2 linked regions of the Nothobranchius furzeri genome follow. The protein of the gene in region 1 binds, or shares a complex with, the protein of each later gene. Links are inferred from orthologs where the notes say so. Each region holds a gene or a part of one and is shown on either strand. Other genes may lie near its edges.

Evidence for each region.
Region 2: the proteins of rabggtb (region 1) and ykt6 are in contact, whole or in part, in a crystal structure (PDB 6J7F), measured with the Homo sapiens proteins. The link is inferred for Nothobranchius furzeri from reciprocal best matches to the Homo sapiens genes RABGGTB and YKT6. Residues at the interface, in NP_004573.2 of Homo sapiens: Thr3, Pro4, Gln5, Lys6, Asp7, Ile9, Lys11, Tyr37, Leu45, Trp52, Leu236, Asp238, Cys240, Arg281, Gly283, Asp284, Met285, Asp287, Phe289, His290; in NP_006546.1 of Homo sapiens: Lys60, Gln62, Asp63, Leu65, Asn83, Glu84, Tyr85, Pro86, Ser87, Leu153, Asn155, Thr156, Glu158, Arg189, Lys190, Cys194, Cys195.

The regions. Positions count from the first base shown.
Region 1 is NC_091751.1:41,394,813-41,411,136, forward strand, and holds rabggtb (geranylgeranyl transferase type-2 subunit beta), read left to right. Parts: upstream 1-5,780; 5' UTR 5,781-5,901; coding exon 5,902-5,904; intron 5,905-6,117; coding exon 6,118-6,225; intron 6,226-6,759; coding exon 6,760-6,957; intron 6,958-7,091; coding exon 7,092-7,197; intron 7,198-7,398; coding exon 7,399-7,451; intron 7,452-7,640; coding exon 7,641-7,751; intron 7,752-7,863; coding exon 7,864-7,989; intron 7,990-8,094; coding exon 8,095-8,244; intron 8,245-8,317; coding exon 8,318-8,458; 3' UTR 8,459-9,066; downstream 9,067-16,324. Other genes in the region: acadm (medium-chain specific acyl-CoA dehydrogenase, mitochondrial), read left to right, coding at 1,653-1,722, 1,859-1,959, 2,223-2,303, 2,516-2,646, 2,724-2,832, 2,970-3,110, 3,297-3,392, 3,463-3,711 and 1 more. UniProt on the Homo sapiens protein: Catalyzes the transfer of a geranylgeranyl moiety from geranylgeranyl diphosphate to both cysteines of Rab proteins with the C-terminal sequence -XXCC, -XCXC and -CCXX, such as RAB1A, RAB3A, RAB5A and RAB7A.
Region 2 is NC_091757.1:56,086,322-56,102,816, reverse strand, and holds ykt6 (synaptobrevin homolog YKT6), read left to right. Parts: upstream 1-9,276; 5' UTR 9,277-9,469; intron 9,470-9,703; 5' UTR 9,704-9,758; coding exon 9,759-9,862; intron 9,863-10,040; coding exon 10,041-10,123; intron 10,124-11,999; coding exon 12,000-12,100; intron 12,101-12,174; coding exon 12,175-12,279; intron 12,280-12,385; coding exon 12,386-12,451; intron 12,452-14,462; coding exon 14,463-14,564; intron 14,565-14,654; coding exon 14,655-14,690; 3' UTR 14,691-16,165; downstream 16,166-16,495. UniProt on the Homo sapiens protein: Vesicular soluble NSF attachment protein receptor (v-SNARE) mediating vesicle docking and fusion to a specific acceptor cellular compartment. Functions in endoplasmic reticulum to Golgi transport; as part of a SNARE complex composed of GOSR1, GOSR2 and STX5.

The sequences.
Region 1 (16,324 bases):
CAGCTGAGCCGAGGCGCGCCTCGACTGGGGCGCGCCTGATCTGAACTGAGGAGCGGCGATCAGCGGCCGAATTTCGTGAGCGATTCGCTTCTCGGCGCTTCCGCGGCCGGTGTGTCCCCGGCGTTACATTTCAATGGTGGAAACAAAACCAACTGCACACTGCTGCCAACTAGCGGTTGATGTTTGAATTGCACACAAAAAAAAGAAAATACACAAATGTTTTAATGTAAATTCTTCCCAAAATTAGATATGCGGCTTTTGAATATTGATATAATATTGCTAGAAAATATATCACGATATATTGACAACAATGAAGCAAAGAAACAGATCTTTGAGTTTGTTAGTAATTTTATTTATTAGGTGCATCTAACCTGTTCTATTTTTCTCTGAAATGAGATCAAATCAGTGCTTCTATGGGTTGTATCCTCTCTGCACTAGAAAAATTTACTTTACTATAATGTTCACTGTAATACATCTTGAAATCAAAGATATTGGTCAATAATGCCAAATTTGTGTTTCAGTCATTTTTATACTGGCTTAAAAATAATTCATTAAGTCTACCAAGCAGGGGTGAAGAATGTTTTCAATAGGGCCAGCCCAGTAATGATCTTGGACCAAAATAAAGGGGGCAGAAAGTCAAATAAAGGGGGGCAGAAGATGTTTTTCCAGACGCCAAGAAAAATTAAATACCAAATCCCCCCTGCAAAGTGTGTCACTGAGAGTTTAAAACAAAAATTATTTTTGTGCAAATATTGGTGTACTCACCTTTAATACTAGTTATTAAAATGCAGCAGTTGATGGACTGGTGCTGATCAAAGTGGAGTGCATCAAATAAAACAATATTAACATAAAGGTGAAACGTGTCATCATAATGATTTATCCTTGTCTAAATAATATTCTTACTGATGAAATCAGAAAATGTATAAACAAGTAGAAATTACATTTAAGTAATAAGTAATTTTCATAACAACTGCACTAGTAGGACTTTAGCATGAAGGTGTCTCCATCCTTCAGTGCTAACCCTGACCAGCTTTCAACAGTTAAACCTTTTTGTCTTTTTACAGAAACTCAAAAAAGGCTTTTAGGCTAATTAAATTAAAGGTGTGATTCCCTGAAAAAAAAAACATTTTATTGATTATTTCTGATAATGAGTCTCTGAGTTTTTCATGCAAACTGAACATGAAAATAGTCTCCTACACCTATCTCCTGCATTAGCATCTGATAGAAAGCAGACGGTGAAACTCTAGGATAGAAAATCCTGACAGATCTATGTCACGCTGTCACTTAACATTCATGGACTCACCCATCTTGACTCACAATGGTGAAGGCTGTTGTTTGTTTAGCATCCAGGAAACAGCAGAGAACATCTCGACTAGTAGACGCTAACTGTTAGCATTAGCAACTCCACCACACAGCAAAACTCCTTCAGGCTTGTGTTTTTTATGGAGGTAAAACATCAACATTGCAAATCAATAGTAGAGTAAATTTTTCTAAGCAAAATCCCTAAAAAGGAACAATAGATATGTCAGGGATTCAAACCCTTTATAGAATGTAATCGTGCCTTTTAGGTGGTGCTAGATCCAGTCCTGCTGCTGTGTGTTTCAGCCATGACGGTTATCTCTAATGAGAAACTTTAAAATGCTTTTTTACAGTATCCATTCCCCATCATTAAGAAGGCATGGGAGCTCGGCCTGGTGAACGGTCACATCCCACAGGAATACGGTGCGCTTCTTGTGCTTTTTAAACAACACACGCTGTCTTTTCTTTATTTTTATGCATCTTGTTTGTGGATAACTGTTTCTGACGAGCTGGCGGATTAACGTCTGACCCACTGCTGCACCTGCCCTTCTTGTCTCAGGTGGATTGGGTTTGTCGATCTTCGACAGCTGCCTCATCACAGAGGAGTTGGCTTACGCCTGCACAGGAATGCAAACCGCCATCGAGGCCAATTCTCTGGGAGTAAGTCTCACAGCAGTTAACACACGTGAGCGTGGCCACAGATTTCTGGTGGCACAATAAACCTTTGTCTCTAACTCGGATCAATAAAACGAAGCTTTGTCTGGAAATGTTAGTATTATCCCACAAAACCTTTGTTTAGATGTAGTTTCCAGGGCCGGTTTTGCTGTTGAATCTATTTCTGCTCTAGTTTGATGTACCTCCCTAATGAGTGATGAATGTTATAGCTCCGTTAGAATGAACTTCATACTGTTTCTGCCACGCAGCAAATGCCTGTTATCCTGGCTGGCAGCGATGCACAAAAGAAGAAATATCTGGGCAGGATGACGGAGGAGCCGCTCATGTGTGTAAGTGTGTCCTTCAGCGTTTTCTGCTTCTCTAGTTTTCAGACGGTAGTACGAGCCACCGTGGTCGCTGGTCACAGGATGTTCTTCATGTGTCCGGACTGGTTTTTGTATCTTTAATGATCTTTTTACAACCTGCCATCAACAGAAACAAAGACGAAGCTGTCGCAGGGTGGATTCGGTCTTATTGATAAGATTTCTTTTGTTCTCGTTAGGCGTACTGTGTGACCGAACCCGGGGCGGGTTCTGATGTGGCCGGTATAAAGACCCGAGCTGTGAAGATGGGTGACGAGTATGTCGTTAACGGGCAGAAGATGTGGATTACTAACGGAGGGAAAGCTAACTGGTCTGTGTTTACTGCATTTTAGGCTTTTATTGCAGTTTTCTTTTTACATCTACTTATTTAATTATTATTTATCTCAGGTATTTCCTCCTCGCCCGAACCGAAGCTGATCCCAAATGTCCAGCTAGCAAAGCTTTCACTGGCTTCATTGTAGATGCAGACACTCCAGGAATTCAACCAGGAAGGAAGGTAGGATGGGATTCTTATTTTCTGTAAGGAAACATCACTTAGTTTGACACATTTAAGCCTTTCCATTAGCTCTCAGGTTCATTTCTTTAAATTTTCTCGCTAACAGAGGAATCTTATATTTGCTTTTGCCCCTGCAGGAGATGAACATGGGCCAGAGGTGCTCTGACACCAGAGGCATTACGTTTGAAGATGTCAGAATACCCAAGGAGAACGTCCTGATCACAGAGGGAGCTGGTTTCAAAATCGCCATGGGTGCCTTTGACAACACCAGACCACCAGTAGGTTCTCCAGCTGGAGCCAGCATCTATCAACCACACTTAATGAGTTTGTGTCCAAGTTGCTAATTGAAAACATGGAAAAAACTTTATTTGCCGATCTTTGATTTGTGGTTCACGTCCTCCAGTGGAATCCTCAGAGGTAACTGAAGTATGTTTTGGCTAATTACTGTACTTGATGCTGTGCAGGTAGCAGCAGGAGCAACAGGTCTGGCACAGAGAGCGCTGGATGAAGCCACTAACTACGCCCTGGAGAGGAAGACATTTGGCAAAGCGATTGCTGAGGTTTGTTTTTAATGAAATCCTTTAATAGAAATGCACCTGACAAGATGGGTAAACTGTTTGTGTCTGGCAGCATCAAGCCGTGTCGTTCCTGCTGGCTGAGATGGCCATGAAGGTGGAGCTGGCCCGGATGGCGTACCAGCGGTCCGCTTGGGAACGGGATCAGGGTCGCAGAAACACTTATTACGCCTCCATCGCCAAGGCCTTCGCTGGAGACATCGCCAATCAGGTGGCTTCTGATGCCGTTCAGATTTTTGGAGGCAACGGCTTCAACAGCGAGTACCCGGTGGAGAAGCTGATGAGGGATGCAAAGATCTACCAGGTGGGTGTTGCCTTTGCATGCAGGTGAAGCTGGAGGCTTTCATTTTAAATTGAATCTGTTCTTTTGTAGATCTATGAAGGCACAGCTCAAATCCAAAGGCTCATCATTGCCAGAGAACACCTAGGAAGATTCCAGAAATGAAATCAGCTGTTTGACTTTTCTTCTTCTGCATTTAAATATTGTACTTTGGATATAAATAAGCTCCTGTCAAACTAATCTGGCCTCAGGATGCAGCTCTAGATGTTGTTTGCCTTAAAACGGATTCATTCTGCTCTGCAGTATCAAACAAGTTCAGACCACGAAAAGGAAACATTTTTAAGACATAAATAATCGTGTTGTTTCCAGTTTAGCACATTTTGTACAAAAACATCTTTTGAATGTGAAGGAAAGAGAGTCTGTTCAGGTTGGAAATGATCATCAGCAGGATACAAATAAATGTGTTTAGAAGGAAATCTGTTTCTGAACTAAAACTGTTGCAGTTATTCTCGTTCACGAGTGTTTTGTTGATAAAGATGTTTTTTTTAATGAAAATCCGGTTGAAGGTCAAAGTTCAGACTTGGCTCACACCTTTGTGATTTTTGTTAACTTGTCTTCATGCCTGTAGTCATGCCTTAAACACACAACTGACTCTGGTCAAATGTGTAAAGTTGTATAAATTCATTTAACACTAGAATGTGTGGAAGTAATTCTGCATGCTGTCAGCCAGTTCCACTCAGCAGACATTATCAACATTATGGTAAACTTCTGCACACTTGCTCACTAATGTTGGATGTAATGCTGTATGATTTTTCTGAGCCGTCCACTTAATAAATTCATTCTGGATTATATGGTTTGGTTTTATGGATGTCGGTCATTCTTTTGGATGAGTGAACAAAGGAAATCCTAAATGTATTAATGAAAAAAAAAAACTGATCACCATTATATGTACTGATTGTAAACAAACATTTAACGCTTTAAATGTTAGTCATGTTACATTTTTACGTATTTGTAGCCGTTTTTAAATCTAGTTTCTGTTAAAACTTTACTGATGTATTTCCTGAAGAATAGGTGTTTTAAATATGATAGCTAATGGTATAATTTAAAGGAAGCTTTTTGATGAATAAGTAAAAGTTTATTTATATAGCGCCTTTCACAGATATAAATCACAACATGATAAAGATCAGAGCAAATACCTCTAACCAATAAAAACATCTGAAAAACAATAGCAGTGATAAACGTAGAAAATAAAATCATGAGTATAAACAAAGGGAAGGTGTGAACTCGAACAAAACCATCTTTTTGAAACATTTAGGGAGGTAACGCCTGGATGAAAAGGTGAGTTTTTAGATGATTTTTAAAGACCTCTACAGTGTTAGAGAGACGGAGATTTGAAGGTAGACTGTTCCAAAGTCTGGGGCCAATAGTCTGAAAGGCCCTGTCCCCTTTGGTTTACAGTCTGGTTCGAGGAACAGCCAGGAGGTTTTCAGATGTGGATCTAAGTTCCGAGAGGTGATGTGTGGGGATAAAAGCTCAGATAGGTAGCTTGGAGCCTGGTTGTTAAGAGCTCTATAGGTCAGGAGGACTAAAACTTTAAACTGTATTCTATATTCTACCGGGAGCCAGTGGAGGGACTGTAAAACTGGAGTGATGTGAGCTCGTCTGCTGGATTTGGTTAGGAGTCCAGCTGCTGCATTTTGGATGGCTTGAAGGCGTGAGAGGGAGGTTTTGCTGAGACCAGTAAAAAGAGCGTTACAGTAGTCTAAGCGTGATGACACAAAGGCATGGATGATTTTTTCCAGATCTGCAGTAGAAACCAGTTTACGGACTTTTGAAATGTTTCTCAGTTGAAAGAAACAAGAGCGGGAGATGGTTTTGACGTGAGTCTAAACTTAAAGCTGGATCAAAAATAACTCCTAGGTTTCTAATGTTGGCCTTGGCTGATGGGCAAAGTAAAAGTAAAGTAAAAGTAACTTTTCCAGTTTTTTCCCTAGAATAGTTACATATTTTTACTATACTATCACTAAAAGTACAAATACAAAACACTTAGTATTTTTGATTTCAAAACCGCACAATAAATAACTCAAATTGATATTTTGTTCTTGTAATACTTCAATCAAACCAGAAGGTGGCGGTAAAGTCTGAAACTATACGACATTTAAAACCGTAGAAGAAGAAGGCCGGAAGTAGCTTGACCATGCAAAATATGTCAGAATGGTAATCCGTCACTTGTTCTTCTGTGCTTTAGAGCATCGTTTTATAATTAAAGTGTGTGTAAATGTTATCTTGTCTTCTTTATTTAAATGCTGTGCCGAAGTGGATGCTACCCTTGTTAGCATTTAGCAGCTAGTCATAACAATGTGTCCTCCTGTATTCGTTTAACTACAGCGTAGTTGTGTCTTGTGACCGTTTCTGTTGTGTTTTTGTCAGAGTGCTCAACTAAAAGATGTCATCATTAAACCTGACGCTCCCAGCTGGCTGCTGCTGGACAAACATGCAGATTACATCGCTGCCTACGGGTCCAAGAAGGACGACTATGTGAGTGACGTTTTATTTACACTTAGTTTGTAGGATTTGTGTCGTCTCGTTTTTATCTGCCTCTGTCGATAAAACCTCGTTTCAGAAGTTTTAAACGTTTTATTTATTTATTTTGGGTTAAGATAAAAGATGCATTCAGGTGTTTTAAAAGGTAAGTTTTTTGTCCCAATTTTCCACAAAGTATATTAAAAAAGACAGAAAATGCTTTAAAGAAACCAAAGATGTACATTTTAAAAAATAATTATAAGACTAAAGAGACGGCCCTCACGTCTCATGAGCACCCACATCAGTGGGGATCTCCCCTGGACCCAAAACAGATTGCCAAGAAGGCAAAATTTTGAACTGCCCTCCACAACTCTCAGCAACTACAGCAGCCTGATCATCTGATTCACTGGTTAAGATTGTGTGCACAAATAAGAAATTTTACTTTGGTTTAACGGGTTTTTGCAACAGGAATTAAATAATGTTTTAAACCCAAAATCAAACTGTACCTGGTCTTTGGTGTTAATGAAATCTGACACCTCTGTGCTGCAGGAGTACACACTGTCAGAGTACCTGAGGATGAGCGGTATCTACTGGGGGCTGACGGTGATGGATCTGATGGGTCAGCTGCCCAGGATGAGCCGTCAGGAGATCATAGACTTCATCAAAGCCTGCCAACACGAGTGTGGAGGCGTCAGCGCCAGTATTGGACATGACCCACACCTGCTGTACACCCTCAGCGCCATCCAGGTGACACAAAGCCTCATTATAATAAATCACAAATGCTAAGGATGTGAGGAAAACTCAGATGAGCTAAACGATCACATGTGTTTTTCTTTAAGGTTTTTAGTTGACATCTTTTTATTTTTACACGTCTTTCTCAGATCTTGTGCTTGTATGACAGCCTGGATGCGATCGATGTTGACAAAGTGGTGGAATATGTGAAAGGGCTTCAGCAGGAGGATGGCTCTTTTGCAGGGGACAAATGGGGTGAGCGAGCTTTACTCTCTCTTTCATTTAGAGTAAAAATAAAAAGTCATTTTCACAAAGCAAAGCAGCTCTTTAGAGAAACCTGCACAACAAACTCTTAGATGTCTGAGAATAAGGAGCTGCATCTGGAATTGTGCACAAGCTTTAACTATAAGATTATTTAAAGATCTTTATCGTAACTGAAGTTTTCGTTCTTTTCAGGAGAAATAGACACACGCTTTTCTTTCTGTGCGGTTGCTACGCTAGCGTTACTGGTACGTACGGGTTTGTCTGAAAATAACCGTAATGCAGGCTGAACCAACAGTTCTGTGATAAAACTCACTCAGTTGCATCTTTTTTCCTGATGTCTGTGAACTTTTTAAAGGAGGTCGTGAGTTTGTTATTTAGTCAGATTAACCATACCTCTGAAGATTACTTTCTAGTCTTCATCTGTCCTTTCCCAGGGGAAAATGGACTCGATAAACGTAGACAAGGCGGTTGAGTTCGTCCTGTCCTGTATGAATTTTGATGGAGGTTTTGGCTGCAGACCTGGTTCAGAGTCTCACGCTGGTCAGGTGAGTTTTTGTCCCCAAACAACAATGTAAAAAAACCTAAAGGTTCAATTTATAATAGAATGAAAAATCTTCTGACATTAAACCCCCTGTTGCTTTTTTACGCTTTCATAAGATTTACTGCTGCACTGGTTTCCTGTCGCTCACTGGCCAGCTGCACCAGCTGAACGCCGACCTGTTGGGCTGGTGGCTCTGTGAGAGGCAGCTGCCATCTGGAGGCCTCAACGGGAGACCAGAGAAGGTCTGCCACCTCCTGATGATGTTTGGTTTTAGATTTGTTTGGAAAAATGACCAAAGAAACCCTTTTTTTAAGACTTGTCTTTAATCAAACCTCCATCTGACGCAGCTCCCAGATGTTTGCTACTCGTGGTGGGTTCTGGCATCGCTGAAGATCATCGGCCGGATCCACTGGATCGACAAAGCCAAGCTGCGGCGGTTTATTCTGGCCTGTCAGGACGAGGAGACGGGAGGTTTTGCAGACCGACCAGGAGACGTGGTGAGACGTGTTCTGAAAAGCAGAGCTCAGATTTTCCTCCAGTGTTCTGAATGTTCTGGTCTCTCCTCTGCAGGTGGATCCTTTCCACACTCTGTTCGGGATCGCCGGTCTCTCTCTCCTCGGCGACGAGCAGATCAAGGCAGTAAATCCGGTTCTGTGCATGCCGGAGGACGTCCTGCAGAGGGTCCACCTGCAGCCCGACCTCCTCAGCTAGCCCATCATCATCCTCACAAACACCGCTACCCTCACATAAACTCCCCTCAGCTGGAAGCAGGAAGTGGATCCGGACTCATCTCTGTTTCACTCTTCGGCCTTAATCCTTCCTCTGCTCACGTTTCTATCCAGCGTATCGTGTTTCAGCTGTTGAAGTTTAAACATAATTTAAAAACACATTCCTTACACTTAAATGCATCACTTCCATCAGCTGCAGCTAAGAATTAATATTATTGTTTATGTGGAACTTTGGATTCAGCCGGGAGGAAAAAGTGTTTTTGGCACCTTAAACTCTTAGCAGTTACGTAGCTGCTTTTTAATCATAAAAGGCGTTTTTATGAGCAGCAAGAGCGATGTGGAGGACACTAACGGTGTTTGCAGCAGACAGGCTTTCTGGGAAACCTAACTAAACAATATTCTACGTTTACAGCTTTATTCACTATTTATTAAACCTATTCACAGCTCTCTAAGGATTCTGGGAAATTTCTGTTAAACATTTGAGTCGTAAATTCTTCACTTTTATTGTCTTATTGTCAAACGTTTGTTTTGTTGTTGTGAACTGATCCGTGTCCGTTGGTACAGAGTAAATAAATCACACCAGTGTTCAAATTTCTAGTGTTTTTTTTTTCTGATTTAGAAGCCAAACATTGTTCCAGTTACAGATCTGATAACTTATGTTCACTAAGACAACTTGAGATCGGTTTAGAAATGAGCTTCACATCAATAGGAAACTTGTTTATGTTATGTTTTTCACTATTTTACTGCAGACACTCAGTAACGTTCTCATATTTGTATTCAGCGTTAAAAATCACAGTTTTAAGATATTCAACTTTACTATAATAAGTTTGATTGCAGAAGTTTCTGTTTTACACAAATAAAAAACTAATCAGTTTGGATGTTGAACTTTTTCTTAGGTACAGGTATTTTATGAAGCGGTGTTTGGCTCGTTAATAGTAAAAATGATCAAATATGTTCATCTAGAAGCTTTTAAACAAGCATTGATGGGTTTGTAATCTAAAGCTTAAAGAGCAAGTCACCCCCTACCAGATTCGTACTCAACTCCCACTTCCTGTTTGAAAAATGCAACAAATGCTGTTGCCCAGCAGACCGAGAGGGCGGAGCCGCTAACAAATACAGGGTACCTCTTAGCCAATAGCGATGGCAGATTTAAATTCAAATGCAGTGCAGAGTTTTTACCTGACAGTTTTAGGCAGAAAATTAAAATTTTAACAAGAAATGCACTAAAGTGTTAAACTATTGACTACACGTGTCTGCAGCACAATTAGACACGCATTTATATAGTTTATTCGAAAAAAAAAGTTGATTTGGGGGTGACTTGCTCTTAAAACATAATGTACATAAAAGCTTTTCAGTTATAAATGTTCTTTAAACTACTTTGATACCTCCGTTATTAAACTGTGTTTGATGTGGTTGCAGATTTAGTAAAACTAAATTACTTCTGTAACGTTTCTCCCTGAGGCTGCAGAGGCGGCTGTGGTTTACCTCCAGATGGCTGCTCCATCACCTGTGGTGTCCAACTCTGGTCCTCAAGGGCCACGCACCTGATTTTAATCAGTAGGTGATTAACAGGCTTATGCAGAGCCTGATGAGCAGCTGAACAGGTGATTCAACCATGTGACGAAGACCGTTGGAGCAGGGAAACAACTAAAACATTACAGGATACGGACCTAGAGTTGGACACCACTGGTAAAAGTCATCAAAATGGTCCACAGTTTTTAATGTTTGATGCGTTTTTCCACTCGGCGTGTCCAACATACACTATTTAAACGAAAAGGTCATTGATGAGCTTGTGAACCAGGGACCACATTAGATTTAGCAAAAATGATGCTGTTACTCTGTCCAGTTTGAGCAATTTTAGGGTTAATTGGGAAGCAAAGACCAGTAGAATAATTTCTATCAAAGAGATAATGTGATTTCTTTTTTCAGAGGCAAAATGGAAGTTGGGATCACTGATATGTAAAAACACCACACAGCTATAATAAATGTTAACATAATCAGCTCCTTTACCACAAAACAAAACATTGTGTGAGTCTCTCACTAAAAGTGAGCCACCTCCTGTTAGTTAAGTTTTTACTGGTGAAAACTTTTTCACCACTGGATTTTTGTCATTTTGATGTGAGTGGTGATCCAAACAGCTTAGGAACAAATTCCATTAGTACCATCATGATGTTGCATAAATAGGGTTTAGTTAGTTCCCCTGTTGCTAAGACCTAAACGCCACAGCGTTTTATTATGAAAGAATTTACAGAAAGTGTTTCTAGGGAGATACTGTAACTTTTTGAAGGTAGTTTCTTCTTCTCTATAATATTAATGCTCCCAAGAGGACAAGAACTAAGATTAGGATTTTTTTTTCATCTTCATTGAGATAAGGATGCTAAAATGTTCTTTTAGATCAGGGGTAGGGAACCTAAAATGTCCAGCATGTTTTGGAGGTTTACCTGCTTCAACACATCTGATTTTAATCAGCAGGTGATTAACTGGCTTCTACTAAGCCTGGTGAGCTGCTGAACAGGTGAATCAACAGTGCTGAAGCAGGGAAACGTCTAAAACCTGCTGGATAGTAACTCCAGGATCAGGGTTCCCTACACCTGGGTATAACTGAACTAAACTGTACTTCCAGCTTATAGCCACTGGAGGGTGCCAATACCCCTTCTCGTTTTTAAAGGTCCAGGGAAACCATGAGGAAAACCTGTAGCTGACAGGGGTTAGCAGACTCAATACTATACAACCACTGTTACATAAATACAGTTTTTATTGTTTTTAGCTGAAAATATAAGAAAAAATACGATTACAGCGAGTTCCTCTGTTGCCAACAGACAAATGCCCATAGCTCTGTTATTTTGAATAACATCAAAATAACTAAGTACATCCCTCTCCTCCTCCTCCTTAATATTGTTGCTCCCAAGAGGACAAACACAGATAGTTTTTCAGCTTTATTTAGATAAAGAGGCTAAAATGTTCTTAGAAGGTTGAACAGAACTAAAGTGTAGTTCCAGCTTAAGGCCACTGGAGGGCGCCAATACCTCTTGTCACATATAAAAAGTCCATGAAAACTTTAGCGCCTGCAGCTAGCTGGGTTTAGCAGACTCTATACAGTCGTCGTTTTTAACACGCAAAAATGCAGCTTTAATTGTGTTTTTAGCTGAAAAATATGAAAAAAAAGACTTAAGCAAGTTCCCCCGTTGTCAATACCACAAATGCCCTTAGCCCTGTTATTTTAAAGAATGTTCTTCCCTCTTCTCCTTATAATTGATGGTCCCAAGAGGACAAACAAAGAGTTTTCTTTATTGATATGAAGAGGAAAAAATGTTTTTTTCAAAGGTGCATTATTAAATAATATAGTGAGAATTTTACAGAGAGAAAATTACAAGAGTCTAATGTTTCAGGCATTTTGCAAGGAAGGGAGCCCCTCCTCCCTCCCTGGAAGAACAAAAAAAATTAATGCAAGTCAACGGGGCTAAAAACGCAATTTTCTAATCTGCTTAGCCTTATGCCCTGGATCGCACATATGTTGTACTGCAATATAAATGAAAAGTAATGGTGGGTGTTTTGACCATGCCAGTCACGCACTTTGAGATTTCTCAGCTTGTAAAAGTTCGTAATTAACATACACATCAGAAATTGGCAAGTCGCCACACAATCTCCTCTTCCCTAGCGTAGCTGCTACTTACCAAATGACCAGATCTATGGTGGTTATTTCCTCCTGTGGGAAGTTTGCTGAACTTACAGCTATTTTCCCTCAGTTTTCTCCATGTCTGGTTCGATGATGTCACTTTTGTGAAGCGCATTTGTAGTCCTGGACTGGTTTTCACACAAAACCTAAAATAGCATTTCCCCCGTTCGAAAATAAGCACATTCGTGGTATCAAAATGTGTCTATAAAATTCACGGACATCATATGTGAAATCCATGGCACAAAACAAGCGGAATTAGGAAATTGCGTTTTTTGCCACATTGACATTCACTTTTTCATTCTTTTGGGTGTAAGGTTATGAAGTTCATTATTTTCAACTCCACACAGCTGCCCCCTGTGCACAATAACACCCGTGTAGAAAAACCAAGGTCGGGTGTTCCTCGGACCACGGTAGATGGGCATGACACATCCAGCTGGCTGCAGGGATTGTCAGTTTTTTTCCATTCAAAACAAAGGAAGGAGGGATGTAACTACTGTTTACCATCAGTGAGTGTGGGGTTGCCGTGTCTCCTGTGAACTGATGCTGCAGTGCCAACAATTGCAATTTGATAACGGCTGGCAAAAATCTTCAGAGTTGTTGAGGTTGCAGTAACCAAATTTTACCACAGGATGTAATTTTTACTTCATTTCTACATAATGCACCTTTAAAGGTGTGGTTCACTGAAATTCACTGAAAAATACTGAGAGATCTACAAACTGTCACTTAACATTCATGGACTCATCCATCTTGACTTGCGACGGCGACTCGTAGAAGCTAACCATTAGCATCAGCAACTCCGCCCCACAGCAGAACTTCTTCAGGCTTGTGTTATTTGTGGAGATAAAACATCAACGTTGCAAAGCAAAGAGTCAGTGGGAGAGTCACAATGCTGTTAGAAGAGAGATGTCCAAATATCAGGAAATAAGACTCCAAATCCTGTCGCGTTCAGCTCAACTCTAAAATGGCTCACGTGTAGTTCCTCAAACAAGTCCACCGGAGCTTTTTTTCCCACATAATGAGTCTTAGAAGGCATTAATTCCTATTAGAGACCACTGCAAATGTATTAATTAAATGAGTCAACCACACCTTTAAATGGTTAAATAGAATTAAAATGTAGTTTAGAATTGTCACCACTGGCAGGCATCAATTTCCTCTCATTGCTTAGTTAAAATCAATTTAAAACAGAGTTTGTAGCGCTGTAGTAGTGGGAATGTGTAGAGTAGCGATGCAATGTGATTGGATAGATGAACTTTATTCAGTGTGAGAAATTGAAGGTGTGGCGTGAGAGCGTGTGAAGACAGTCAACCATGTTGTTAGTAGTAAACATTATAATTGAATACAGTTCATTTTGGGTGTTAAAGTCTCTTTTTCCGGAGTGCTTCTCTTATCCGATGGCACCATCTAGTGGCTGACAAGCATATCACACAAATAGTCTCTCGATTCGTTTTTTAAGATGACAATTTCATGTTTCTTGTTTATTAATGGGCTACTGTAGCTGACAAACGGAGCTAAAACACGTTGTTTTACAAGTATTATTCTCGTGTCATGCTGTGTTTTCATATATTTATATTTTAAAGACTTACTATTTGAAAAGTTCATCAAGTCTGCATCAGCCAAGGTATTCCTTAAATTTGAAGCATGTAAGCGGTAGTCTAACACTATTGGTTGGTTCTGGTCGGTGCTCAATTTCTTATTGCACAGAGCTCTGCGGGGCATGGGGCGTGCTTAGCAAAGAAATTTAAAATAAAAAGATGTATTGCTTACATTTTATCACAGAACATGATAAGATAATCACTTTTACAGATTTCTGACAAATCATACATCATTTCTGAAAGGGGAAAACTCCAGAAAGCTACTTTAAGTTTCCTGTGTAAGGAAACCCAAAAGATTGCATCGAGTCACTGACTTGTTGTGTTAGACTTTGGAGCAATCATCAGACTAACAAGGCATGTAGCAACAGTGGAGAGGAAAACTCCCCTTTAACAGGAAGAAACATCCAACAGAACCATGTAATGTTACCATCACAGGGATTTGAACTCTTGACCAAAGACAAAGGACAACATCAAAGAGCTTTTGGTAAAAGATGCTCGCAGTAAAACCTTTAAAGGATCAAACTAGTTTAATTGTAGAACAGTCAGAACATAAATGGATCCTTACCAGATCCACATATTGTCACCTTTCAACCTAAGAAGGTTCAGAAGCTGAAATACTATCCTGATGACATGTACTAGTTAATGTGGACAGTTGAGTCAAAACTGTGTGTGTGTGTGTGTGTGCGTGTGTTTAGTAGTGGGAGATCTGTTCCTCCATCTGCTAGTGTGTGATTTGTCTCAGAGGAATCAGGAGAACTGGCTGTCGTGTGAACGAGTGACTTCCTTTGTGACTCCCAGGCACTTCCTTAAGCAGTGCATGCTGGGAGCTCAGACCCATCAAGTGCCGTTTTCTGTGTGAACCCCCCCCCCCCCCCCCCCCCCAAGAGATGGTGGTCCTTGCTCATTTGAGATGTTTCTGCTCCAGTGTCTGAAGCAGCCCTGCTGATTTACTTGGCTTGCTGGCCGAGGAGGTCCTGCACCTTCCTGGGGTTCGGTCCAAACGGGCTCACTCAGCAACAGCTTTAATGGCCACACAGTAAACAGAACACTCACATCAGGTCATTTCAGTGACATAAAAAGGCCACCACACACACTCACAACTGATTTAACACGAGGCTTCTGGAGCATCTATGATTGATGCAGGTTTATAGTGAAGTAATCAGCGTCTGAGGCCAGAAACACTCACTGCTGACTTTGTTCCACAGCAGAGGAGGGCTATCGTATCTGGAGCAGCATGAAGACAGATCCACTCCTGCTGGAGTAATTAGGGCCAGCTAATTATCTCCTCCATCTGACAAAGACAAGGACCTCCTCTGCAGAAGATTAGAAGAATTATACCTAAATTGGAACACTTTCAACATTTGCTTGTGTAAAACATCAAACAATCAAAGCACATGACTGATTTAATGGAAACAGACTTCCAGAATTGTAATATATGTTTTTTTTTCTTTCTTCAGCTATCATCACTTTTTATGAGTGAGGCGGCCATGTTGGATTTTGAGCTCCATACTGGTGAGAAGCCCCTGCCGTCTGGATGCTATGGACACTTTGGAGTTTCGAGATTAAACTGAACACACAATTCCTACTATTTCTCATCACATGACTCTCTGGAGTTGCAGATGTTACTCCTGATTCACACTCAATGGCTGTGTCTCAATTCAGGGTCTGCATCCTACCTCGGCCGGATTCGTCGGCCGGTTACGTCACAGCGCCGCGACTCGGCCTGTCCCAATTCGAAGACTCCTTCAAATGCGGTAGACGAATGCGGCCTTCTTTTCGCCTGAATGAAGGATGGGTCCGGTGTATCCTTCAATGGGTAGCATTTCCCAAGATGCCTTGCGGGCCGGCCGGCAGAAAAACTTAAAAAACAATGGCGGACAGTGAAGCGGGAGCTGTCGGCGAGGATTGCGCTTATAAATGTAAGTATAAACTTGAAAACTGTCAGTTTAAGGACTTTTTGTGATACATGAACGTTATTTTAGTTAAAAATGTTACAGTAAAAGTGCTTGTATTGCGGTCTCGGCTCGTATGTTCGGCCGCTCGGTGTCGTACTTCTCCCGCTACGTTTCCCCCTGATTTTAATAGAAGTTTGTATTTTAGGACCAAAAGAGAAAACCAGGGAATTTATTAAGCTTAGGGCAGAGATTGACCACATGATCACTGGAGCAAAGTATTCGGCGGCTGTGGCATGGAGGTACAATAACATCTCATATTTCAAAAACTCGTTTGAGTTTATTTTTTTCTGCGAAAACATGAAAGGAATAACCCGTTGTCCTCTTTTCTCTTCCTGTTTCTTTTCTTACATGTTTGTTAAGACTATTCTGGAGAAAATGGGCATCCAGGGGAAGGTGCCAGCGATGACCAGCTTCTGGAGCTGATCAGGGAGGACATGAGGCTGCAGAGGGCACAGGAGAGAAGGAAGAACTTTGACAGCTTTTTACTTTGCTAGAAAAAAATGGTTAATAAAGATTAAACATGTACATATAAAAGAAATATCTAAATAAAATCAGTTCTGCATTAAACTCTTGAATTTGATTTTTGTTTACAAATGAGAATTGTTTACTAGAGGGTATCCGCTGGG
Region 2 (16,495 bases), on another chromosome or scaffold:
ATTAAAATGTGACACTTTGAGTCTAGAATATTGAATCTTTTCTCAATATTCTAGTTTTCTGAGATTTTGAACGTGGAGTTTTCACAAGTTGTAAACCGTAATCATCACAATTATAATGCATAAAGGCTTGAAATATCTGGCTTTGCATGGAATGAGTATATCTCATTTATTAGTTTCACCTTTTAAGACGGATCTCTGAAATAAATTAACTTTGGCACCATTTTCTAATTTTTGGAGTTTCGCCCGTGAGTCCATATCTGATATGTTTTACTTGTTTTCTTGCTCCCACAATGGATTTTTTGTTCAAGAGCCTGTTGATGAAAGGTTTATCAGAGCAGAGAAACAGCTAACACACGCAGGACGGTGACATCTAAATGTGCTTTATCTCCCCTTCAGACTCTGAAACATCTTCTCTTTACCTCAGAGTTCCCGTGCGTCTCAAACTTGCGTTACTTTGAATTTTACAGTTTTCGTTCTTGACTAATTAAAACTGCAGACCAGTTGGGTAAGTGCATTTCTGAATCACAAGGAATATGCAAAATAATACAGACACAGAGCAGATAGAGCCAGCTTGTGTTGCAACATGTACAGAGAGTTGAACCTCTGCCAAGTGCTTGTCGATAACTGATTATCCAGTTAATTTAACCTGCTCTGCTGTTTGCACAGATGATGGACCTCCAGCTTTCTCCAGAAAAACTCCCAAACTAAGCAACAGTGTTATTCAATAGAAGAAGAAAAATACAAAAAGGTTTGTAGGTTTCCTGTATGGAAACAAATCAGTACACAACGGGCTAATTTTAGAAGATTCGTAAAGCTAACCCTAACCCATTTTAGAGAATAAAACACGGTATGATGCAATAATCATTCACTGTGACATTTGCTGAATGGTTTATGAGGTTCATAGAAAGTGTGTTGTCATTCCATTTCTTTGAGATTGAAAGTGCAAACAGAAATAATATTTAAAAATCCAATACCTGATATAAATCAAACATGTGACATGGGTAAATTATCCGTTGAAATCACTATTGCTTTCTAAATTAGAGGCTTTTAGAATAAAACTAAATTCATAACTGGTTAAACCGATTTTTGCCCAGCAGAACACAAATTATACAGTTTGAAAATGAAAAAAATCAAAGTTTGAAGAATGTGGAGTGTCTCAAGGTTCAGTGTTTGGCTCTGAACTATTTATTCTATAAATATAAACTTTAGAAGTGTCTAAAAACACTGCAGTTTCCTAGAGAGGCTCATCCCCACCCATCTACGCTCCGTGGTGACGCCAGGGATAGACCCACTGCAATTTGCATGTAAACCAAACATGGGAGTGAAGCACGTGCTCATCTACCGACAGCACCGGACTCTGACTCACCTCAAGATGCAAAAATGCACTGTGAGAGTGGTGTTCTTTGACTTCTCAAGAGCTTTCAACACCACCCAGTTGTGTCTACTGCAGCAGAAAATGAGAGGTGCAGGAGTGGACGAACACCTGACTGCATGGACCATCAACTACCTCACCAACAGGCCACAGTACATGAGGCTGCAAAACTGTATGAGGTGGTTATGTGCAGTTCGGGAGCTCCACAGGGTACCGTGCTCTCACGCTTTCTCTTCACCTTCTACAGCTCGGACTACACCTACAACATCAGCAGCTGTCACCTCCATGAGTTCTCTGATGACTCGCCCATTGTTGGCTTTGTGTCTGGGGGGATTGAGCTGGAATACAGACAAGTCATTGTTCTATGTACGACCAACGTAATAAATGACTCAACGTCCTTCAGCTCGAGAGGTGTTGTGTTTATTTCTCAGTCCGCCGAACTCCCTCCAAACTCCTCCCCCTTCAGGCAAGTCTTAAAGGCATACACACTGTATCTATCCACATGACATCTCCCCTCTTTGAGCCAGAGACAGTGTAAACAGAGTGAAAGAACAAAGTGCGTCTTTTTTCTCAAAGCATTGGAAGCCTCTGTAACAGTAACCGACAGCAGAAACATAACATAGATGCTTTTAACCAAAGAGTCAATCACAATAATTGCAAACGATCACCAACACTTTTTTTTTCTTCGTCAAAGGATGAAGGCAACAGGACACAACCCAACCATACACGCGTCGTTGGGGTGATGGGGTGTTGACGATGGTGGTGGTGGCTGATCTGCCACACCAGGAAGGAATATTGGTCGTAGGTGGCGCCTGTTCCTCCGCAGTGTCCCGTGCTCTGTCTGGATCAGGTAGGACCTTGGAGCGGGATGTGGTTGTTGGACCTTTGCCGCAGATGTCCAGCCAGAATCACCATCAAGTTTCTCCGCCACATCCTGCCCGGGTGTAAGGGGTGGGAGTGCTCTGGCACCATGGCGTCGGTTGTAGACACGTTCGTAGCTCCTGTTCGCCTTGGCATCGGCTGCACGCACCTTTGCGAAGTTGGGCCACTTAGGCAGCAGAACCTTACCGACTGTAGGTACAGTCGTCTTAATCTGACGACCCATCATCAGCTGGGCCGGACTGGCGCCTGTGGCTTGTACTGGTGTGGCTCTGTAGGCCATGAGAGCCAAAAACTGGTCGTCCTGCCGGAGAATCCTCTTTGCTGTCTGAACAGCTCTCTCAGCCTTACCATTGGCCTGAGGATAGTGGGGGCTGGAGGTGATGTGCCTGAAATCATAGGCTACAGAAAAACTGTCAAACTCTTTGCTCGTAAACTGTGTAGCATCGTCAGTGGTGAGTTCTTCTGGACAACCCCGGCTAGCAAACATGTTTTTCAGGCGGGACCATTTGGTCTCTTCATGTCCGGTAGGTGAGCCAACTCTAAATAACAAGAATAAAAGTCCACAACTACCAAGTAATGTTCTTTTTCATACTCCCAGATGTCCGCGCCTATCGATTGCCAGGGCCTCTGTGGTAGTGGTGTTGTGATCAGAGGCTCCTTCCGTTGTGTAGGTCTGACTCTCATGCACTCCAGACATTTTGTCACCAGTTCCTGGATGTCTTTTTCTAGTCCGGGCCACCACACACTCATGCGCGCTCGTTCCTTGCACTTGGTGATGCCTTGGTGCACATCATGTAACCGGTGAAGGATCTCTTTTCTCATACTTTGGGGAATCACGATGCGGTCTCCATACAGCACAAGACCCTTTGATATCGACAGGCTGTTACTGCAGTGGTGATGGGCTTTAGCTTGTGTGGGTACACTCCCCACATACTTTGGCCATCCCTCCAAGATCAGTCTGTTCACCACCTGCAGGCCATGATCCACACTCGTCTCCTGCTTGATCCATTCCAGTTTGGAAGGTGACATTGGCCACGCCGTGTGAGCTGCATCTTCAAACTCTGAATCATCATACGTTAGCTCGGACACTTCACTTGTTATTACAGGTAATGGCTGTCTGGAAAGCATGTCGGCTACTGTCAGTGTTTTCCCCGGCACGTACTCTGTGATGGGGTTATACTTCATCATCCGCATCAGCAACTGCTGGCTCCTCAAGGGGACCCTATCAAGATCTTTGTTGTTAATTAGGGGAACCAGCGGTTTGTGGTCTGTGTGGACCGTAAAGTTGTTCAGGCCATATAGGTAAGTGGAAAATCTCTTGCAGGACCAAACTGCAGCCAGGCATTCTTTTTCTATTTGTGCTTGGCGCATCTCAGCTTCAGTCAATGATCTTGAACAGAAAGCTAATGGTTTCAGTCCATCTGAGTGTCTCTGTAACAGTACCCCACCTAGCCCGTAGCTGCTCGCGTCTGCACTCACCACGGTTGGTTTGGTTACATTATAGAATGCAAGTGAAGGTGCGGTGGAAATGAGTTGTTTTACCTTGTTGAATGCGTTATCTTGTGCTGTGTCCCAGGTCTGCACTGCTCTGCTCCTCAGCAGGTCATTGAGTGGCTTTATCACTTCAGATAAGTTGGGCAGGAAGCGTCCAAGGTAATGGACCATGCCCAGGAACCTCCTCAAGCCAGGCACGTCAGTTGGGGGCTGTAGCTCTGTGATGGCGGCTACTTTAGAGGGATCAGGCTGAATGCCGTCACCGCCAATTCGATGTCCCAAATAGCTCAGCTGTCTTTGTCTCAGGAAACATTTCACATTGTTCAGTTCTAGGTCTGCACTTTTCAGGATGCACAGAGCATTTTGGAGTCTCTCTTTGTGTTCTTTATCATCTCTGCCATGGACGAGGATGTCATCCATGTACACTTCCACTCCCTCCTGTCCTCTGAACGGCACAGACATTTCCCTCTGGAAACTTTCTGGCGCACTGGAGATTCCAAAGGGCAGTCGCTTGAAAAAGAACCGACCCACTGGGGTAATGAACGTGGTTAGTTTAGCTGTTCCTCTCTCAAGTGGGATTTGCCGGAAGCCGCTTGCTGCGTCCAGTAGAGAGAATACTCTAGACTCTGCTAGCCTCGGCAATATACCATCTATGGTGGGTAGGACAAATCGTTCCCTCTTCACTGCCATGTTCAGTGTCTTCAGATCAACACAAATCCATACCTCGCCATTTTTCTTTGGGACTGGAACTGTGGGAGCACACCACTCTGTTGGCTCTGTTATTTCTTCTATGGCGTTGCATTTCAGCATCCTGTCGAGCTCGTTCTTGACTTTGGAGAGAAGGGGGCAGACACTCGCCTGGCTGTGCTGATGCTGTAGGGGACAGCGTCGTCCTGCAGATGTATTTTCACAGGTTTTATTTTTAGGAGGCCTAGATCCGTCCCGGACGTGCTTCTCACCTCTTCCACTTTCTTCACCAGTCCCATCGCCACAGCAACATCACGGCCTACTAAGTTGCTGCTGTTAGTTGTTTCCATGACGTGGATACTGAACCTGTAACTTTGCCCTTTATATTTTGTAGTGGCAGTGAACAGTCCTAGACAGTTGAGCCTTCCACCAGGGCTGTCGAAATCTGTGTGAGCGCTTGATAGTTGGGGCGAGCTGTTGAAGCGATGATAGGTGTCGTCCGAAATTACACTGGCATCTGCACCAGTATCAATTTTGAAGCTGACAGAGGTACCGCAGATGTTTGGTTGGACAGTCCATGGCTTATTAGAGTCAGTTACATAAAGTTGTGTTGTTTTTATCTCGCCCAGGAAGTGCCCCTCGTTGAAATTTTCATCCAGCCTCTCTCTTGTTTTTATTTCGTTTACTCTTGCAGAGCGGCACACGGCGGCAAAGTGTCCAATTTTATGGCAGTTTCTGCATTTTGCTTGCCTGGCTGCACACAGCGTATTGCTCCTGTGATCTCGTCCGCACCTGAAGCATTTAGATTCTGCAGCGCTGCCGTCGCGTTGCCCTGGCGCCTGGGGCCCGCCGCCGCCCCGCGCCCTCTCTCTTCCTCTGTGTTGTTGGGAAGGCGCAGCACGCACATTGTGTCTAACCTCACTCAGAGCTGCTGCATCTCCCGTGTCAGCCTTAGCTTGCTGGCTAACTTGCCTCTTTATCTGCTCAGACTGTCTCACCATCTCCACGGCTTTCTCCAGTGTGAGGTCGGCTTTTAACTGTAGTTTCTCTGACATGTCTTTGTCCAGGATCCCAACCACTAACTTGTCGCGAATGTTTTCAATCTTCGCCGGACCAAACTGACAGGTCTCGGCCAGTTCATAGAGTGTACGTATGTATTCCTCCGCGGACTCACCCTTCTTTTGCGAGCGGAGGTAAAACCGTGCTCGTTCGTGGATGACGTTAACTTTTGGAATGAAGTAATTATTTAGCTTTCCCAATACCGTGTCATAGTCCTCCTCATCCTCCTCCTCATTGAACCGCAGAGTGTTAAACACTTGTTCCGCTTCCTTGCCAAGCGCGTAGAGTAGGGTGCTAACCTGCACAGCTCCATCCTCGAGGTTTAGCTTAGTTGCTAGCCGTCAACGCTGGAACCGCTGCCTCCACTCCGGCCACTGCTCCAGGCGGGTGAAGTCAAAGTTGTCGGGAGGGTTAAACTTGGCCATATTCACCGCTTAACTTCTGACACCATGTTCTATGTATGACCAACGTAATACATGACTCAACGTCCTTCAGCTCGAGAGGTGCTGTGTTTATTTCTCAGCCCGCCGAACTCCCTCCAAACTCCTCCCCCTTCAGGCAAGTCTTAAAGGCATACGCACTGTATCTATTCACATGACAGTCATCATGGACCTTGTAGACTGGTGTGAGCATAACCACCTTCAATTAAACACCAGTAAAACAAAGGAAATGGTGATTGGCTTCCAGAGAAACACTCCTCCTCACTCACCGGTAAACATCCAGGTGCAGACGTTGAGGTGGTGGATACCATTAGTGTTCACGTCATCAGTAAACTGAACTGGTCCAACAACACAGATGCTCTGTATTCCTGAGGAGGCTGAGGTCCATCAGATTTAATTCACATCTGCTAAAATTCTTTTATCACTCTGCTGTCAGCTCTGTTATTCATTCTGCCGTGGTCTGTTGGGGTGCAGGCAGCTCTGACCGAGACAGGAGGAGACTGAACAAGCTAGTAAAATAAAGCTAGCTCTGTTCTGGGCTGCCAACTAGATTCAGCTGAGGATGATGTGTGGAAGGAGGATGCTAAGGAAGATGACCTCCATCTTGGGAAACCCCTCCTACCCACCGTGTTCCATTGTGGGGACCATGGACAGCTCCTTCAGAGGTAGACTAAGACATCCCAGATGTAAAACAGAACACTACCGTAGGTCATTCATCCCCTCTGCAGTAATAGTGCGTAAATTGTCAGTTTAACTGGTACTGGCATTATCCTGGTACACAATGACATCAGTGTGGTATTCAGTATGTGTTCAATACTTGTGCAGTACCTGACGTAATATGTCTGAGTTCATTATGCTGCATAGTTCTGGAAACCCAAGTTTCCTTTTCATTCATTGTTTTTAGTGGTTGAAGGTTACACAAATAAATAAATAAACATAAATAAACATTGATAGCTCATTACCTTTGTGTGTTTATCTGAAATCTCGTTATTATTCTCTTCTTCCTTTTTTCTCTAAGCAGATGTGCTGCTTTAGTCGGTGTGGGGTTAATAAAGTCTATTATATTTTATTTTATTTGCAGATGACAATAATAGTTTTTATTCTGGGGTATGGCTCAAAATAATTGCAGAAAGTGTGGTTTGTGAGATGTCTAAAATTAAAACGTAGCTTAAAATAATTTATTAATTATGAAATGCAACAAAAAACATTACGGACGTTATTTTTTAGAATAAAAAAATGTTACTTTTAGTAGAAATTTTGAGTCACAAAACTTAGTTGCATATGATGCAAAAAGTTTATAAATCCATGGAAATTTCCAAAACGTGTGTTTTAGAACTATCAGCGCAACACATTTTATATTATTCACTTCATTCACACCTGAGTTTCTGTTTAAAGAAGTTAGAGTTCACACACGCGATCAATACTAATCCCTAGTTTGTATTTAAAGAAAATATATCAACTAAATGAATAATATTTAAGACTAATGACATTGTTTGCAGTAATGTATTTGTAGAGATGCTTATTTAAGCACAACCAGATGGAAATAATTGTCTTATAAGTAAAACAGGAACAGGTTTGTTTAGAACTGCTGTTGGAGTTTTGATTTAATTTATTAATGACTACATTTGGATAAGTAAACTAAATAAATGGGATTAAATATCAAACTCTATATTGTTACAGTAAAGGAAGTGAGCTGGAAAATTGTTGTTTTTGCAGATTTGCTGTAAGATTTTCCTCATAAAATAAGACCTTTCTAGGAAAATCTGTGACTCTTTTTCAGCCACTTAGCTCAAATGAGATTGCTTCCTCTGCTGTCTAAATCTAGCTCTCACAAACACACAGAGAGAGATGAACTGTTACCTTTTCCATCCTTTCACAGTGAGGGTTAAATCCTGGACGCGCCGCTGACCATCGGTGCTCTGCAGCAGAACTTTAATGGAGTCTGGAGTTCCCCGTTTGTCCTCTATGAATGTTTTTTCTCTGTGCCCATTCACAACGTTAGAAATAATTGATTCTGCAAATGAGACGTCAGACCTATCAGGCCTTTTTCCCCCATGTGTCATCTACATATTGCTCGATGAAAGTTCTCCACAGTGCTTTTTAAGACCTGGCTGGTAAACTCTGAAAGGATATCATCAAAATACCACCTCCCCCAAAAAAACCCAATCTTTAAATAATCTACGGGCTTTTGTTCATTCTTGCAGTACAAGAAGTCATTTGGTGCAAAAATGAAGAATTTGGAATCTTATGCATATTTTATGGCAGAGTGTAAAGAGCGATCTGGAAGAAAAATGTTTAAGATTCAAAGTGATTTAAAAAAAAAGCTACAGCTTCACTCTGAAAAACTGCCTTGTTGACCCCCAAAAAGTGTAGGCTATACTATTAACTTTCTGCATAACATTCTTAATGTTTCGTCCCAGGACAAAAAACACGTTAAAATAAAATCCAGAGCACTGATTTGGAATAAAAAAAAGAACAAAAATGAAGATAGATTATTCAAACTTCCCATTAGAGTCTGAAATCCTCCTGGACAAGGTTGTCTGTGAGCAAAACTAGAGCTAATTCCAGGAAAGATGTTTCCCTTCCTCCCGTGGTGTAGCTGATCCAACAGATGCATCTGAAGCCTTAGCAGTTCCCATTTTATGTTACCTGGGAAATTAGCAACAGGCACACTACTGACATGGAAAACACTTACTTACCGTAAGTTAAGTGGCCAGGAGGAAATTGTTAAATGGACCAACATTACCACAGAGGAGATCAGTTGATGGCGCCATGTTTTTGCTTGGCAAAATGACTGGTAGATGAAAAAGAAAACAGTATTATTGATTTTAAAAAACCGTCTTGTATTTTTATTACGACTTCTCAATTAGCTTAGACATTCTTCAGAAAGCAGCAACCAGACAATAGCAGATTTTAAAGTTTTTGAAGCATTAGGACAAATTAGTTAAAGGACTCAAATGAAATTACTGCATAAAAAATCCTGTGCAAACAAAATAACCGAATATTTACAGGGAGTGAGAACATCAATGATAATAATATTATTATTATTTAATATTATAGATTATTATTATTATTATTGCTGTTGTTGTTAACATTAATAGAGTATTTATTAGTAACCCTGAAAAATATTCAGAGGAAAAAAATAACAAAAATGTTCTTTTCCCTAATTTGGAACAAAATATAATAAAGTGGAGCATCCTCTGTAATGAGCAAATGCCTTTAAAAATTCTATTATTCCATATTTAGTTTAGTTTTCTTTTCCCTCTTCATAGTTTTCAAGTCCTCAAAATCCTCCAAAAGGATCTGGCGCGCTTTTATTAACGCAGGCGGAGCCGTTTTCCCAAACACGGAAGTGACGTCAAAACGCTCATGTAGATGGGAACGTCTACTGGTTCTGACGTGGAAACTGATTACTGAAGTACAAATTCTCCCTTTGAGACAACACTGATAATTCTTGCAGTCGCGCTGTAGAGCCTCTTGTTGATCTTTTTTGTTGTTCTGGTTTAAATCGGGTGTTTCGCTGCTGAATCTTCCGGTGAGTTTGGCTCAGGCCTCTTCTACAATGTAGCATATCTGGTTAGCTTATTTAACTCATGAAGCTGAATTAAAACGGGTTCGTCTTTACAAATAAACAAAAACATACAAAACAAGTTACCAGAAGCTAAGTCAAGCAAACAGCCTGCTAGCTGTCAGTACTTTCGCTCGTAAGCTAAGTCTGTTTCGCTTCTAGCAAGTTTAGCAGGGACGCTAACCAGCTGCTGGCTAACAGGTAATACTCTCGTGATTGTGACCGCTCTACAGACCTGAGCTGATCCGGTGGTATCATGAAGCTCTACAGCCTCAGCGTCCACTATAAAGGGTCGACCAAAGCCAATCTCCTGAAAGCGGCCTATGACCTGTCATCCTTCAGCTTCTTCCAGCGCTCCAGGTGCCTCCCAGTATTTACGTATAGATTAAACGCTCTAGTCTTTGTTGGTGTTAATGGTGTTTGAAGTATTTGGTACTAAAACTCTGTCAAACGCCTAAACTCGTGGATCACATATCATACTTGCTTACTGTTTTCATTAGACTACCATCAGTGATGATGTTTTATTTTGTAAATTCAGTGTTCAAGAGTTCATGACCTTCACCAGTGCACTGATTGTTGAACGAACATCTCAAGGAACCCGTGCCTCCGTCAAAGAACAAGGTAAGGCTGGTGTGGTCCGTTTTAAAGACTTGTATTTGATCTTCTACCTGGTCATGACGACAAAACCATGTTGGGTTCTCAGGAGTAAGAACAAGAGTGTAAAGGATCTTTTAGATGTTAAGAAAAACATTGATGTTGAGGTTATTTTCTACATGTTTTCTCACTTTTTTCTGTCAGTTTGAAGTTGAGAATAAAGACATAACGCACAAAGTAGCAAATGAAGCTTCTTTGTTTATCCATAACTAAAGAGAAACAAAAATGTGGACTTTTTAAAATAAATAAAAATACTAAATATTAGTATTTTAAAAAGCTTATTTTTTTCTTGGTATTTCATTAAGATATACATATATATATATATTTTAAAATGTTGGCTTATATAAATATTTCATAATTATTCTTAAAAATAGTAGCTTTAGTCCTCGCTGTATCAAAAAGCACGAACTGCCCATCCTGTATTGATCGTGACAGATTCCCTTTTGCATTATTTTGCTAAACATCACTATTTATTTCTGAGTCCCAAAGATCCTCAGTGGGTTTCAGGTTGGGAATCTGGTGTCCAGAATAAAATGATGTCTCATGATCCCTGAACCAGCCTTTCACAGTTGACATTGTTATATACATTTATATATTGTATATTATTTATTTATTATTTATTTGTTTGCTCTGTTAAATCCGGCTTGTGACTTGTTTTTGAACAGGCAGTGTTTGATCTAAACGTGGCTGAGTGTCAGTAACTGGATGTTAAACTTTCTACATGGCCTAGTGGTAGAGTGTCCACCCTGGGACTGGGAGATCAGGTTCAGATCCCAGGCAGGTCATGCCAAAGTCTTTAAAAATGGGACCCAATGATTGACGCTCAGCTTTAAGGGGTTGGATTGGGGGGTTAGACCACCAAATAGTTCCAGAGCACAGCCACTGCTGCAGCTCACCGCTCCCCACGTGCTGCAAACAGGATAGCCGTCCTCTATCAGCTGTCCCTCGGCATTCTTCAAATATCCAAAAAATGCCGTACTTCCCACTTTGTCTTCTTTGAGGGATAATAAATGTCCTCCTGAGCGCTGCCGTCTCCTCCTTTGGCCATTATTTCAGCTTTAGCTTCAAGAAAGTTTTGGTTGTAAACAACAAAGTGCGCATGTGCCGCCGGCAACTTCAGCAGATGATACGGTGGCTGGTAAGGGTCACCACGCCTACACCGCAGCCACGGTGATCCACCGAGATAATATAGTTTTTAAACAAGACGGTTATTGTTACGTCCCCGACGGGTGTTGTAAGAATGTGAAGGATGGGGGTAACATAAGAACTGGCGGAGGAGTTTAAAATGGGTTTAATGGTAACAAAAAGGTATTAAAAAAAAAGCAAACAGATCTCTCTAAAAGGTTAACATTACACAGCAAATTATCAGCTATAAAACACCGGGTTAAAACTTATATTAAAAGCTTCACCACACGAAGGTGTTTAAAAACCGAGGTCAGTAAAATTGCACAAACCAAGTTAACCTTAAAACCAAACAGCCAAAAAGATCCCACTGGATCGTCCAGAAAAACTTATCACCAAGAGTTCAAAACTGCCAAAGTTTAAAACTCGTCCAAACGAAAGGGGTTGAAAACAAACAAAACCGGGAGGACAGCAGAACCCCTGCACTGCTGAGGGCACAGCCCTTTTATCCAGGTGTTTGCTCATCAGGTAGATTCCTCGCAGCTGTGCTCCTCAGCAGCCCGGGAGAGACGAGGAGGAGGGGCGGTGTCGGGCTGCTTCTCTCCACTGGCCACACTGGCAACCGTAACAGTTATTATTACTGTCAACTTCTTTTACCGGGGTTTACCGCTACACCGGTTACCGTGACAACCCGAGATTTGACTTATTTCCACTTCTGCAGAGTACCTGTGCCATGTGTACGTGAGAAACGACAACTTGGGTGGTGTGGTGATCGCAGACACTGAATATCCACAGAGGGTCTGCTTCACGCTGCTTGAAAAGGTGAGTAAAACGTTTAGCGTGCTGCTGCAGCGCTTTGCTCTGAACAGCAGCTTTTAGACTGCTCTGTCTCTCAGGTATTAGATGAGTTCTCCAGGCAAGTGGACAGTGTAGACTGGCCATCCGGGAGTCCTGACACCGTCCACTACAAAGCTCTGGACATTCACCTTTCTAAGTACCAGGTTAGTTAAACGGCGTCACACACCATCGTGTATTTTATCATATTTGTGGCTTTTTATGAATCTCGTCAAACAGATTCTTACAGCTGATCATCTGTTTCCCCCTCAGAATCCCAGAGAAGCTGATGCAATGACCAAAGTGCAGGCAGAGCTGGATGAGACCAAGATCATTTTGGTAAAATACGTTCACATTCTTTAAAGGCCAGCTCCTCTGAGAAACTTTTATTTTATTTGTTTGTTTACTTCTTTTTGAAAGTAAGTCACTGAGAGTTTAGGATGCAGGCTGAAGAAGAAAATAGTCTCTTACACCTATTTCCTGCTTTAGCTTCTGATAGAATACAGACAGAAAACGCTCGGGTGTGTAGTCGTGCACACGCATCAGCGGAGACGTTCACCTTTCAGACCTCTCCATCGCCTGGACTGTTGCCAAGCAGTTCCCCGTTGATGGCTCTGCTGTTGACAGATTTAAAGGAAGTGGCATCCTGATCATTCGCAGACTTGCGGTTTCTGTTGTTTTCAAAAGAAAGTAAAAAATGTGGGCGTGTCTCCGTCACCCTCTTTTCAGGCTATTGCATCAGCGGCGCTTCGTCTCCATCACAGAGCTGATGTAAACATATAGACTAGGCTGTAGGAGTCTGAGCCGCGGCTGTGGTTCGATGGCAAATGTGTCATCGTGTTGGAATGTGACAGGAGCTGTTTAACCCTCGGGGGTCCGTGGACGCGCATCCGCGTCTTTAACAGGTCTGATTTGGGACGCTGTAGCAGCAAGACTCCGCCTCCCTGAGTTTCGGTTTCAATTCAGCTTTAAAAAGGAGATTTTAAACTACACCCCAGTTTTTAAATGTTGTTAATAGGCAACGTAAAAGCGGAGTTATGCTAAACTAAAAAAACGACCTATTTTTAGACAATCTGATAACTTGTCAAAACAGCAGTTTAATGATCCGTGAGAGGGAACGTGCTTGTGAACATAAAAACATGAGATCCTGTTGCTGTTGGTGGAAGTCTCACATATTCAGCTGATAAAAAGCATCATTATGTAGCTGAGAGAGAGAGGAAGGCTGCACGAGTAACGAGGTGTGCGCCAAAAGGAGCCGCTTGGCGGGGAAAGGAGTGGCGCCAACGGAGTAACAACAAACAATTAGACAGATATTGACGGTAAACTTCATATTTTGGAGCGATCCGGACAGATATATCGTCTCTGCAGTTTAGTGGGCTTTTATTAGGCTTTAATAAAGGATGATGAGAAGGATAAATGTCCACCAGGCAGGTCAGATAGTACGGCTGTTTTTGGAACTGGAAGCAGAGGAAGTGGGCGGAGACTCACAGCCGGAGTTTGAGGCAAATAGCGAGGATGTTGATGACGATGTGGCGGATCCATCCTTCCTCATAGAAGAGTTGGGTCATGATGAGGTAGAGGATGACGGCAGAGATCCAGCTCCTCGGAGATCCAACGAGACGAGTGGGCGGCGCCGCGCAGCTGTCAGATCTCGATCTCCGCGGCGTGAGACAGAGCCACTCCCCACTCCAAAATGCATGTACATTATTGCCAAATCAATAAAATTAGTATAAATTCAGATAGTCCAGACTGTCCTGAAAAAATTATGCCCCATAAGGCAAAATTTGTTTTTACTAGAAAAACCAAAATGAGTCAAAAACGGTGATTTACATCCTGGACCCCAGAGGGCTAATAATTTATTTTTAATGTGTTATTTGCTATATTTATTCATATATTTTTTTTTTATAAATGTACAGCCTAAATTACCATTCTAAATTATAAAAAACATTCGTCATAAATGTTTGTTGGTTTCACAGTAAAATAAACAACTTTTTTCCTATTCGGATTTTATGTTTTTGAGTGATTTAAGGTCTAATATGCAACCCCTTTATGTCCAAATATAAAAAATAAGTATAAATCCATAAAGTCCAGGTTGTGCTGAAAAGATTGATACCACATAAGGCAGTGCTTATGGCTTTTATTTTGGAAATACAAAAGAAAACTCTAAATTAGTCAAAAACGGCAAATTACACCCTGGAGCCCAGAGGGTTGATCTCTAGGTGGTGTGTTTCACATCCTGTCAGACGTCAACATCCAGAGCCTGTGGCTTTAAGAAGTAGGCTTTAGCGGTTTTCTCTGGATAATTCTGAATCCTAATCTCTGCACTGTTTCACGTATAAACTCTCTGCAGCACAACACCATGGAAAGTCTGTTGGAAAGAGGAGAGAAACTGGATGACCTGGTTGCGAAGTCAGAGCACCTGGGAAATCAGTCCAAAGCCTTCTACAAGACCGTAAGTCCCGTCGGCTCGTCTCGTTTCACGTCCAACTCTGACCTCGTCTGCTTCTGTTTTAAAACTCTGGTTTTTCTGTCGACCCTTCAGGCACGGAAACAGAACTCGTGCTGTGAAATCATGTGATGCTGCTGCCTCGTCCTCGTGGGGACAACTCTCTGCCTTTCTGCTTTTCCTACAACCCCCATCATGCACCGGCTCTCCACCGGGACGGAGCGCCGGGATGAGAGCAGAACGGGGTGGCCAGTTTCAGCGGGGTGACTGATGGGGGCTGCAGGAGTGATGGGGTTTGGTCGGGGGAAGGAGTGAACGTCTGTGTGCTGTTTCTTACCAACTGAGGACATTATAGCGTGACGTTATGTGCTGGTGATGTCATCGACACCTTTTAAACCCCTTTGATGTTATTCAGATCGAATCAAAAGCTAATCGCTTGATCTCTTAAAACACTGAGCGAGTATTAACCACACTTGTGCTTTCTGCTTCATGATAACTGACAATCTGGTGACGTCGCCGTTGAACTTTTGGAAACTGGTTTTCTCCTTACCCCGTTTGCCCACTAGGGGGCTCTGTTTATTTACATCACCGCTCTAATGAAGCCTCGGTGTTTAACGCGGTCTTCTAAACAACTTGGATGTTTGACATCAGACTTTTACATATTTTAATTAACATTGAGCTGCTCTGCATTTACTTACACAACTGCTTTGTTTTCTTTTTCGGTCTATTTAATGATGTTAGATGAAGTCTTCAACATTCCTGTTTGGATGAGTCTGTGATAAGCTGATAATGTGGACAATTAGCTGTAAAATGTTTGGAAACTCCCAGTTTTGTTTGTCCTCGTTTGCAAAGAGTTCCTGAAACTTCTGATAAGAACTCACTTAAAGCTGCTGTCCTGGATTTTGTTCTTGTACCTCTAAATCCAAGAAGCACTTCACCCTTAAAAACGGAGGTCATTCTGGGAGGTCTAGGTGCTCGTTTCATTTTCTGCACTCTAGTCATCTTGAATGGGTATGATAATTAAAAATGGGACAGGAAGTACTCAGTAATAGCACATCTGGCTTTTACAGTCGCCCTACAGCTGCCATTCTTCATTTTCTTTACACGACTGGAGAAAACGTCATTTCAAGAGTCCGTGCCTTTGGTTGTGTGTTTTCGATGTTTCTCTGACGTGTGTGTGTGTGTGTGTGTGTATATATCGCTGATACTCTTCCAACCTCCAGCTGCACGCTGTGTTAATGCTGAGAAGATTGTGCAGTCTCTGCTTTCTGTTGTGTAAACTTTGGTGCAACGTCTGCAGACTGTTTCTTTAACATGAAGAGGAATATATATATATATATATATATATATATATATATATATATATACATACATATATATAAATTTTCATAAGTTACAAACCTTGCATGCTTTTTCTTTTGACCAACTCCAAGCTTGTCCAGGGTTGATTTTCACTTTTTTGTCTTTTGAAAACTTCCAACTGTATTATCAGATCTCGACTGTTGCTTGTTGCAGCTCCATGTGCAGCACATATTTTTTGAAAATAAAACCTGTAACTTACTTTCTGTAAAAACACTACTCTTGCTTAGATAAAAAGCATAAATGTCTGATGTATGGTTTCATTTTTTTTATTCGTGTGCAAAAGTCAGTTATAGTGAGCTGTTGGCTTTCTGAGATGAAGCTAATAAAGCTTTTATTTTAATTTAAAAATAATAAGATAGCTTTAATTTGAATATAACACATTTCATGCATAGTTCGATGCGCTTTCCAAGAAGGAAAAACTGAAAACAACTTTTAAAATAAACGGGACAACATAAGTTACTAATAATGCAAGATAATTAAACACATCCGTTCTTTTCATTAGGAAAACAGATTAGCTGAATAATTTGATCCAGTCCGGTGCAATCAGCGATAAACATCTGTGTTTGTGGAAAATC